Macaca mulatta: one gene and its partner. The protein of the gene in region 2 interacts with the protein of the main gene of each other region in a biochemical or structural test. Links are inferred from orthologs where the notes say so. Each region holds a gene or a part of one and is shown on either strand. Other genes may lie near its edges.

Region 1 (4,924 bases), on a different chromosome or scaffold from region 2:
GAGTCATGCTGGGGTCCGAGTCTTGCGATCAGGAGTGAGCATTCACTGCCTCATGATCTGTGGTTCCCGGACACTCTCACACAAGGCACAGAGAATTATGGAGCAGAAGGGAGCCCAGGGTGAACTTTGGTTTTGTTTTTATGAACTGCAGAAAACAGGTGTTTATTTCCTGACTTTGAATGGGTTTAAAGTGGGCACTGGTCAATATTAGGAGTCATGGGCTTCAGAATTCAGAAACTTTGGCTGTGTGGAGTTGGGACTCCCCCAGTGAATACCTTGTTTCTGGATACTTAAGATTAGAAATGAAATATAGGACAGAGGGTTTTTTTTTTTAATTTTTAATTTTTTTAAAGCTTCACCTCAACGTAAAGTTCCACCTACAACGTTAGTGGGAAAGCTGGTCGACACGGTCTCCTCCTAAACACAGTGAAGGAGGGGAGGGCTGGTGCTGGGAAGGTCCCATGGCTTACAGAGTTCTGCGTGTTCTCCGTGTAGTGAGAGGTAGAGGGAACAGCACACGGCTGCATTCGTATTGAGAGGTGGGTGAGCCTCAGAAAAACAGTGCACTGAGGCGTGGGCTGGTGGGGATCCAGGTCTGCTGCCTCCAGGCTGGACTGTCTTCTACAGTTTGCTCGGTGCTGCTGTGTGCAGGACCGCTGGGTCATTCTCCTTTGACGCTGGGGTTGGTACCACCCCTTCCTCCTGCTTAGAATCTTAACTATGTCGATTTTCCTGGTCCTGAATCAGATGGGCCATCAGTTGAAGTTGTACTTTGCTAAAGCTAGGAGAGCTACAGAAACATCAATAGGTTTTCTCTTCACCCTAAACCTTGTTGCTACTGTCCCACTAGGGTCCCTGTGAGTCACCGTGGCGGGGCTGATGGTATGAAGCCACTCTCCTTGTCCTGCAGCAGCCACACTGTTGCCCCCATGCCTCAGAATGGCCCCAGAAGGCCCTACCTGCAGGTCCCCCAGCAGGCTGGACTTTCCACACATCCAGGCAGGGTACCGCTTCTGCCCCGACACGGGCAGGAGCCTCCCTGCACTGCGTTGGCGATGTGGTGGGGAGGGTGGAGCGCCGAGTCCCTGGGCTCCCTGTCGTTGGTAGTGATCAGCCCAAGTGTGGTGTGTCGCCTTTTAGGTGGAAAATTGAATTTAGCAGCCAGTCTGTGTGTGTTTTTAAAGACTGCCCCTTGCTGTGAATTTCACCATTAGAAGACAGGACTTTCTATAAATGATGCGGTCTTGGTGGTGGATAACCGTAAGCAAAGTGGCACCAGTAATTACGTGGTCTTCCTGGCCATCGCCCCGGCCACAGCCTGGGAGCCCCCTGGGGATATGGGGAGCAGAGTCCTTCAGTACGTGGTCCTCTCGGCCCCTGCAGCGGGCGGCCCTGTGACCAGGGCTTCCCAGCAGCTCAGCAGATGGCCTCTCAGGTTTTCTGTTGTGTGGGGTTTTGGACAGACGTTATTTTCTTTTTTGTAGAGTAGCCTGTTTGTAAGTTTAAAGTGTTTGTTTTTCTCCTTTGCAGCATCATGGCCAGCCCAAGAACCAGGAAGGTTCTTAAAGAAGTCAGGGTGCAGGATGAGAACAACGTAAGCCTCTGCCCCCCACCCCCGCCCCAAGCCTTGGTCAGGGTCAGCGAGTCTCGGGAGGTTGTGCTCTGAGTCCGTGGTTCTGAGACCCTCCTGGAGTCGATGGTGGTTGGCGTCCTCTGGACGTGTGTGACTTGTGCTGGCTGGTGGCCTGGGTGGCCGGCTCTTAGAGTGGTGCCATTTCTGGCGCTCATCAGTGCTGGCTGTTGGGGGTGGGGGCTCCTCCACATTCCTCAGGCCACATTGCTCTAAGGACAGGTCCGCCTCATCTTCCCATCTGAACATTTTATTACATGGGAGACTCTTTTCCCTCACGCCTTGCCCTGACCCACACCCCCGGCCACCCTGGGCAGCCCTCTGCATTTGCTTCTTGAGGCCACCTGTCGGATCTTTGGGGTCCCTGGGCTCTGCCCTGAGCCACCTGGTGAGTCACTTGTGGCCCCTTTGCAGGTTTGTTTTGAGTGTGGCGCATTCAATCCTCAGTGGGTCAGTGTGACCTATGGCATCTGGATCTGCCTGGAATGTTCGGGGAGACACCGTGGGCTTGGGGTGCACCTCAGGTCAGTGTCCTACCACTCCGGCTCTGCGGAGAGCCTGCGGCCTTCCCAGCGTCTGTTTCTGACACTGGAGGTGCTGACGCCAGGGAAGCTTGGGGGCCATCTCCCATTGAGTTGCCAGTGTCCACTCCAGTGACGCCATGGCACAGGGTTCCGGCTGCTGGCCACTCGGCCTCCCTGCGGCTGCTGCTTGCTGTGTCTAATTCTCAGGACGATGTCGGGTGGAGGGTGTCCCTGGGTGTCCCCGGTGCTGGTTGATTTGCTCAATCCTCTGGTTTCCAGCTTTGTGCGCTCTGTTACTATGGACAAGTGGAAGGACATTGAGCTTGAGAAGATGAAAGCTGGCGGGAATGCTAAGTTCCGAGAGTTCCTGGAGTCTCAGGAGGACTACGATCCCGGCTGGTCCTTGCAGGAGAAGTACAACAGCAGAGCCGCGGCCCTCTTTAGGGATAAGGTAGAGATGGGCCCGACTCACTCTTGCCCCATGGTGCGGGGCTGCTCTGCCTTTAGTGGTTCTGGAGTTGGTTCTTTTGCTGGTTCTGACACACCCACTGGGCCACACATAGTCCGGGACAGAAGGGAATGTCGTGGTCCTTGCTGCCCTGCCCAGAGGGGAGGCACATGGCTTGTGGGAGAGATGGACCTTCCCTGCCTCCAGGGGAGAAAGTAGCTGTGACCGTTTACTGCCTCTGTGACTTGTTGGGCACAGTGTTTCTAAGAAGTTTGGAGGCCAAATGGGTGGGTCCCCCTGCGTTTGAAGTTGGAGTTGCACCAACTAGGAGCTCCCCAGCTCTGTTGTTCATGTAAAGGGAGCCCTGGCCTCGCGTCCACACCTGGTCTGTGCACCTGAGCAGGGGTCGTCGAGCGGGGCCAGGAGGAGGCTACGGGTGGTGGATGCTCCAGGCGGGCCGAGGGGGCTGCGCTAGAGTCAGCGGTGCCCCAGGGTGTCGCCAGGCACCTTTATGCTCTCTGATGCCCCGTGTCTCCTTGTCAGGTGGCCGCTCTGGCCGAAGGTAGAGAGTGGTCTCTGGAGTCATCACCTGCCCAGAACTGGACCCCACCTCAGCCCAGGACCCTGCCGTTCACGGCACACCGGTAGCTGCTCCTCATGGGGCCTCAGTGCAGTTTCCACTGGGCCCTGATCTTAGTCGACTGGGTTACCCCACAGAATTCCCTTCTTTGCTGTTGTGACAGCTCTTTTCCCAGAAGTCAGTGAGAAAAACAGATTTTTTAAATTGCCAAAACAATTCAAGCTTTTTGTAAATTTCAACCCATAAAACTGTCTCAAAGAGTGCCCCAGGTAGGCTCTGCACGCCTTCCAGATGTGCACACAGCCGTGTGCGCCGTGGCGCTGTGGGAATTCACGTCTGCACACAGCTGTGTGCGCCGTGGCGCTGTGGGATTCACGTTTGCACACAGCCGTGTGCGCCGTGGCGCTGTGGGATTCACGACTCCGTCTGCCCACAGAGGTGCTGTCTCCTCTTCCCCAGAGTTGCCCATCTACCTGTGGCACTGGCCCTGCCACCCTTGAACTGACCCCTGTCATGGATGCATCCCACGTCCCACTGCAGGGAACATCCCGGGTGAGGTGACTGGGTAGCACGAGGCCTCCCCACCTCACCTGGAGCCCCGGAGCCCCGCCAGCCAGGTGTTTCTGGCAGAAGGCTTTGCACTTCGGGCAACTCCAGCTTGATTCCAGGCCCTCGGTCCTCTTCCCCCACCTCTCGCCTCTGCCTCCTGCTGACGGGGAGAGTGCAGAGCCCACTGCGGAGGCCTCTCGTGGTGCCCATGAGGCTGGCATTGCTGGGTTTCAGCACCTGAGCCTGAACATCCGCTCAGAGCTGAAGGCCACCCTGGCCTCAGGTGCTCTCGGGTGACGTGAAGGCGCTGCCCACATAGGCCACATGGTTCTGGGGGTGCTGCTGGGGTTCCCTCAGACTTCACCCAGTTTTGACCTCACCAGCCTTTGATTCTTGGTTTCAGAGCCTCTGGCCAGCTGCAGAGTGTGACCGCCTCCTCGGACAAGGCTTTCGAAGACTGGCTGAATGATGACCTCGGCTCCTATCAAGGGTAAGGACTTGAGAGCTGGGGATGCCTGGGGAAGGCCAGACCCACGGGGTTCAGTCTGCTGGGTAGGGCTGCTTCCCTCGGGGCCTCCCGTGTGCAGTGGGTGTGGGACCCGTACGTGCCGGTGCAGGGTCTGACTGCAGTGAGCCCCGGCTGCCCACCCGGGTGTGGATTGGGGGTCTTGGGTGTAGAGAAGAGCTAACACTTAGAAGAAAAGCATAACACATTTTCTGCTTGGAATTTGCTGGACCTATACGTGAATTTTTATCCCCAAAGCTGTCATATTAAGTTGTTTTGATCCTTCTTCCAGTACTTCTATGACTGGGTTTGGGGACTTGCTGGGGACCCTCTCTGGTGATGTGGCAGGAGGGTCTTTTTAAATGAGCAGGAAGCACGTCTGTCTGCTGCTGGGGAGCTGCCAAGGCTCCTGCTGCTACGGGAGGCAGCGTGCATGTCCTGTGCTGGGGGACGCTGGCACATCCCTCAGAGCCTCAGCCTCACCTCTGTTCAGGGCCCCACACCTTCAGGAGGAGCAGGGTTCACGCCAGCATCTTCAGCCTCTTGTCCGCTTTGTTTTCAGAGCTCAGGGGAATCGCTACGTGGGGTTTGGGAACACGCCACCGCCTCAGAAGAAAGAAGATGACTTCCTCAACAACGCCATGTCCTCCCTGTACTCGGTGAGGACTTGTGGGCCCTGCAGAGCATC
Region 2 (5,623 bases):
GGTGTGACTACCTGGGCTCCCCTGCGCCTGTCTGGCTTGAAGACATCACTTTTGTCCTGGTGGTGGTGGGGAGGCCAAACCAGGAGCACAGAATCAGCGGAAAGGGACTTTTTAAAAAATTATTATTATTTGCAGACAGGGTCTCACTCTGCCACCCAGGCTGGAGTGCAGTGGCAGAGTCCTAGGTCACTGTAACCTTGAACTTCTGGGCCCAAGCGATCCTCCCACCTCAGCCTCCCAAGTAGCTGGAACTACAGGTGTGTGTCACCATACCTGGCTATCTTTGTAAAATTTTTGTAGAGATGGGGTCTCATCATGTTGCCCAGGCTGGGGAAGGTACATTTCTTAACCCTAGGGCTGTGTATACAGAAATCCATTTTATTACTTTTTAAACTGTGCATGTATCTGACATACACTCTTTCCTGTCTGCATTTTTTCACATTTAAAATAAAATATTTTAAAGGGGCCAGGCACGGGGGCTCACACCTGTAATCCCAGCACTTTGGGAGGCCAAGGCGGGTGGATCACCTGAGATCAGGAGTTCGAGACCAGCCATGGCCAACATGGTGAAACCCTGTCTCCACTAAAAATACAAAAATTAGTTGGGCGTAGGGGCAGGCGCCTGCAATCCCAGCTACTTGGGAGGCTGAGGCAGCAGAATTGCTTGAACCCAGGAGGCGGAGATTGCAGTGAGCCAAGATTGTGTCACTGCACTCCAGTATGGGCGACAGAGCAAGATTCCATCTCAAAAAAAGAAAAAAAAAAATAGAGTATTTTAAAGGAAGGGGAAGCAGGCTCTGGTTCCCACACAATCCCCACTCAGTGACACTGGAGCCACCCCTGGCCATGCTCTGCCATCAGAGAACCAAAGCCAGGTCCCTTCAGCCCTAAAGTGGCCATAACCACATGTATCCCCCATGAAATGTCCGAGCATGGTCCAGTTCTGGCTGAGCGGGAGAGGCAGCACAATCAGAAGGCTCCACAGGCATCCACACCCCTCCCTGGGGCTTTCCAAGAGTATCTGAGATGCCTGTAGGGTGGGAGGGAGACATCCTTCCCCTAAACAGACAACCTGCCGCAGCTTCACAGAGGTGAGATTTCAGAGGGGAGCCCCAGGCAGAAAAAGGGACTGAATTTGGGGGCAGGAGGGTCACCACTTCTGGGGTCCTTCGAAGCCCCCGCAGGTGCAGCCCTGGGGGAGAACTCCGACTATCGCAGCCTGCAGTGGCAGTGAGGATGCCCTGCCCAAGGGGCAAGCAAGGTAGGTGATGGCGGCAGCAAAGGGGCGCAGGAGGCCTGGGCCAGGCCCAGTGACCCCACCCCTCAGGCCCTGCCCCCGGGCCTCCCCCTGGACAAATCAGGTTGATTCCCGACCTCCAGAATACCCAGAGAACTGTGCTGCACGGACGCTCTCCCACAAGCCCAATCCCTCACAGCTGCACAAGGGAAGAGGCAAGAAGACCTGAGGGTGGTGGGCAGAGCCAGGCCTCTGTTCCCTTCTGACCAATCCAGGAGGGCTTCCTGGGAGCGGGGTCTCCTCCGCCTCAACTGGATCTCAGCTGAAAGGCCAGCTCATTAGAGACCGCTGTGACCTCCCTTCTGGGCACCACCCCCACAGCCCCGGCCTCCCCCCGGGGTCCCCAGGCCACCTCCTCCTTTGCTTCATCTGTAGCCAACTCCCCGGCATGAGCCCAGGCATGAGCCCGCGCGAGTCACTGCGGCCGCCGGGGCGCCGAGGCCAGTGCGGGGACATAGCAGGCCTCCCTCCTTCGGACCTTCCGCCGAGGCCCCGCGAGTGCCACAGGTTTCCACAGGGCCGGGGCACACGGACCCGCGCAGCCTGGGAGCCAGGGACCCCAATCCCAGCGAAGGGGCGCCTCGCACCCCAGTCCTCACGCGGTCCCCGAGGGCTCGCGGTGACTGCCGGGTCGGGGAGGAGGAGGGTGGCAACCCGGCCCCGCCGCTCCAGTTGCTGCAGCAGCCCCCCGGGCCTCAGTCTCCGAATCTGCCAAACGGGCGTGTGGCAGCCACAAGGTGTCTTTTCGGAAGACTCACAGGCGCAGGCGCAGACGGGTGCGCACCCCTAAGGCGCGCGCGAGCTAGGACCTCGGCCCGGGGCTGGGTGTCCCCGGCCCCGCCCCCTGCAGCCCTTCTGGAGCCAGCGCGCCTGCGTCGCGGGCGCACGGGGGGCGGAGCTCCCGGCGTCTCCGCCTCTTACCCGACGTTCCCCGCGCCCGCAGGCGCTGACGTGGCCGCCGTCAGAGCCGCCATCTTGTGGGAGCGAAACCAACGCCTGGCTCGAAGCAGCAGCTTCTGAGGTGAGGGCGAGGGGCGCGGGTCGGTGTGGGCCGCACACAAGTTGGAGCCGGCGGGGTCTGGGGACTGGCCTCGGGGCGACTTGAGGTTCGCGAAGGGCACCTCGATCCCGGCGGCGGCGGCGGCGACAGGGCCGGGCCGGGGGCGGACGAGGACGGGCCGGGCTGAGGCTGGGGAGTCGGGGCTGGGAGGGCGGGCGGGTCGGTGAGCTCCTCGCGCCCCTCACAGGTTCCCGGAGTCGCCCGCGGCCCCTTGTCCTCCTCTGCCAGTCCCTGCCCCCGCCCGTCGCCCGGAAGTCAGCCGGGACGCCAGGCTCTTCTCCAGGAAACCTGGGCTTCCTGCTTCCCTCACCTCTGCCCCTCACGTTTCCCGAGGCCGCCCGCGCGTGGAGGGTTGGGGTTAGCGGTCTCGGGGGCCGGTGGGGGTTGTGGGGCCTCCTCCACCCGAGTACAGGCTAGCGAGCGGCATCCGGGCGGACCGCTGCCTCGGGGACCGGGAAACTGAGGCTCAGGCGGCCCCAAGACACCGTCAAGGTCACGTAGGTGGTGGGGGCTTGCACCTTCGCCTCCCGACTCCATCCAGTTCGTGTTTCTTCTGAGGAAGGCACTGGGTCAGGGGCGGTGAGAGCGAGCGGGCGGGCAGTGGACAGGGACCCTGCGCCTTTCCCTGTCTGCTGAACGGAATGCGTGGACCTCCGGGGAAGCCCAGAGTGCCTCCCTTCACAACAGTGAGACGCGATTTGGGGTCAGTATGAAGTCTCCGGTGGCTTCCAGAGGGCCGGTCGATGTTCGCTTTAACTCCAGGGTGGTTTCCTTGACGTTGTCGGCAGTAGATAAGAAGGCCTCTTTTGAGCTGGTGAATCTTTAACTTGCCTGCGGAACGACCTGCTCGTAGACTCTAGGCCGCAGAGGCCGGCCCCAGCGCTCTCTCGGGGCACAGCCTGGGTGGTTACGGCTTGTGAGATTGGGTCTGTACAGCCGTGCGCACCTAGAGTGTTAGATAACCATTCCGACGGCACTTCCTGGCGGACTCCCTTTCCGTCCAGGCAGCCAGTTGCTGCTTTGCAGGAATTGAGCAGAAATGCGCTCGGAATCGCGGGCAGAAAAAGAAGGGAGGTCGGAGTCTTTGGATGGTCCCCGAAGTCGCCGCCTAGTTTAGAGCTGTAGAGTTGGTGCCACTGCCCCTATTGGAGTGGGCAGTTGTATTTCTTGTTTCAGAACTAGTGGTCAGCAGTTTTCTCTGCCGCCGGTTGTTGCAAGGCTGGTGGTTCTGGCGTTTTCCGCAGTGTGTTGGGAGGAGTGTGAGATGCCGAGGTGCGGTTGTGTGCGGCCCCTGTGGCCCTCTGCTTTTGCGTTAGCCATTGTCTAACACGTGTGACTGCATGGATGATGTCCTCATTTAATTTGAATTTTCACCAGCACTACCAAGGTAGCCAGAACCATAAGGTCCTGAAATGCCGTACTATTAGCTGGGTCCAAAATTGAGAAGAATTGAGTAGTATAAATGTTAGTATACACATCTGATTGGCCACATTGTTAGAGGTGTGTTGTCCACGTTTTCACATGTTGGTAGACCGGAGAATATCTGTCACTTGTCTTTAGGTGTATCTTGTTGAAAATAAATCCAAATCATTGCAGCAGTAGGAATATGCTGTTGCCTGTCAGGCAGTTTTTCAGATTTGCTAGTTGAAAAAGATTTGAAACAGTTGGTTTGGACAACAGCTGAGTCACAGAATGACTGTGAGTGAAAAGCAAAAACTGGTTCTGTGCCCCTCACAGTTCTGATTTTGTACATCATGTAGTCTAGCTATGCGCTGTACCTCTTGCACAATATGGAGAGGACATTCAGACATCTTCACCTGCTCATCTGCCCCTACAGACTGGACAGGCTTGAAACTATAGCTTCGAAGATGCATTTGGCCTTTCATTTTTCACTTCAGTAAAATTTAATATGGACTGTCAGCTGCTGCAGTGATCATAGAAGTAGACCTAACTAAGAGAAAAAAACCTGTTGTGCAAGTTCACACGCAAAGTATATGACTGTGGTTTCAGAGAGTTGAAGCAGTTTTTTCTAGATTCTTCAAATTAAATGTCTCATTGGTGTATTTAAACCAGCTCTTACTCACAGGCCATGCTCACCAAGCTTTTGTACACACTTCTTCCTGAGCTGTGACCATTCTCTTGAGCAAGAGGCTGCAGCCAGCCTGGGCTGGCAGGCCCATACTGTCTCTCATAGGCATTCTGTCCTCTCCCCCTGACCTTTCACCTCGGTAAACTCAAGAGGGTGAAAGGAAGTAGAGTGCACTGTCAGAGGTAATTGGGAGAGAAACAGGAAAAGGCCTTGCAGTGGGGATCTTAAATTATGAGAACTTGTGTTTTCTGTGTTGTGCCTGCTCCTCATTGGTGTGGTTGGTTGGTAGGGGTATCCTGCCTGTAGCATCTGAAGTGGTCTTTTGGAAAAGGTTTAGCCCCTTCATGTTGGGATTCCAGGATTTGCCTTCATCCTCAGGTTCGTATTTTCCTGTGGTTGTTATAAACTCTTTAAGGCATAGTTGCACTTATCACCTTACAGCTGTGCAGGTGCCCAGCACCGTCTTGGAAGGTAGTTTCACATTCTCAGGTGGGTCAGATGACCTTGTTAGCAACTTGACAGACATGTCCTGGATGTTTTTTGTTCCCAAGAGGCTCTCAGGTCCTCCCCCAGGGTCCTGTCACTCAACCATCTACAGGGATGAGAAGACAGTAAGGCTGGCTGATTAGCCATAATGTCCTTGACTAATCCTGGTTTCCTGGTTCTCACACAGTGGTAACAAGGGCTTGCAGCCGGTTGTCAGCCAACAGACTGGGAAAGGTGGTGCTTCTTACAGGCCCTGATAACAGGAAAAGCCTAAATGACATCAAGAGAAGAGACAGGGAAAGCATAAAAGGCAGATTTTCACAGGCACAGCAATTGAGAATGATTCTGTTTAGAAGGCAGACGTTCTCCCACACCCCGGAGGCCCAGGGCTCACTGTTAGTGTACAGCATGAAGTGAACGGGAGACTTGATTCAGTCCATGAACATTTCAGGAAGTTAGAAGTCTGTAGTTGTGGATTGCAAAATACATATCTGGCCTGCCTCCCATTTCCTGCCATACAACTACTAAAATACTTGGAATCTCCAAAGTGATGATGTCTTTTTGTACCCTAATGAGTTGACCAGTGACGGGCAGCCCCTACGAAACTTCAGGGTAGGGCTAGTCACGGGGCCAAGGTAGGATTAGAGGGTTTCAGCCCCACCCTCCAATTTCCCCAGAGTGGAGAGGGACT

Evidence for each region.
Region 1: the proteins of ARF1 (region 2) and ARFGAP1 form a complex in vitro, tested with the Homo sapiens proteins (2 studies listed by BioGRID, with this or other methods). The link is inferred for Macaca mulatta from reciprocal best matches to the Homo sapiens genes ARF1 and ARFGAP1.

What each region holds. Positions count from the first base shown.
Region 1 is NC_133415.1:116,134,067-116,138,990, forward strand, and holds part of ARFGAP1 (ADP-ribosylation factor GTPase-activating protein 1), read left to right. Parts: intron 1-1,530; 5' UTR 1,531-1,534; coding exon 1,535-1,594; intron 1,595-2,044; coding exon 2,045-2,154; intron 2,155-2,433; coding exon 2,434-2,605; intron 2,606-3,145; coding exon 3,146-3,246; intron 3,247-4,134; coding exon 4,135-4,221; intron 4,222-4,798; coding exon 4,799-4,895; intron 4,896-4,924. UniProt on the Homo sapiens protein: GTPase-activating protein (GAP) for the ADP ribosylation factor 1 (ARF1). Involved in membrane trafficking and /or vesicle transport.
Region 2 is NC_133406.1:85,833,783-85,839,405, forward strand, and holds the start of ARF1 (ADP-ribosylation factor 1), read left to right. Parts: upstream 1-2,277; 5' UTR 2,278-2,318; exon of another isoform or gene 2,319-2,403; intron 2,404-2,479; exon of another isoform or gene 2,480-2,998; coding exon of another isoform or gene 2,999-3,060; intron 3,061-5,623. UniProt on the Homo sapiens protein: Small GTPase involved in protein trafficking between different compartments. Modulates vesicle budding and uncoating within the Golgi complex. In its GTP-bound form, triggers the recruitment of coatomer proteins to the Golgi membrane.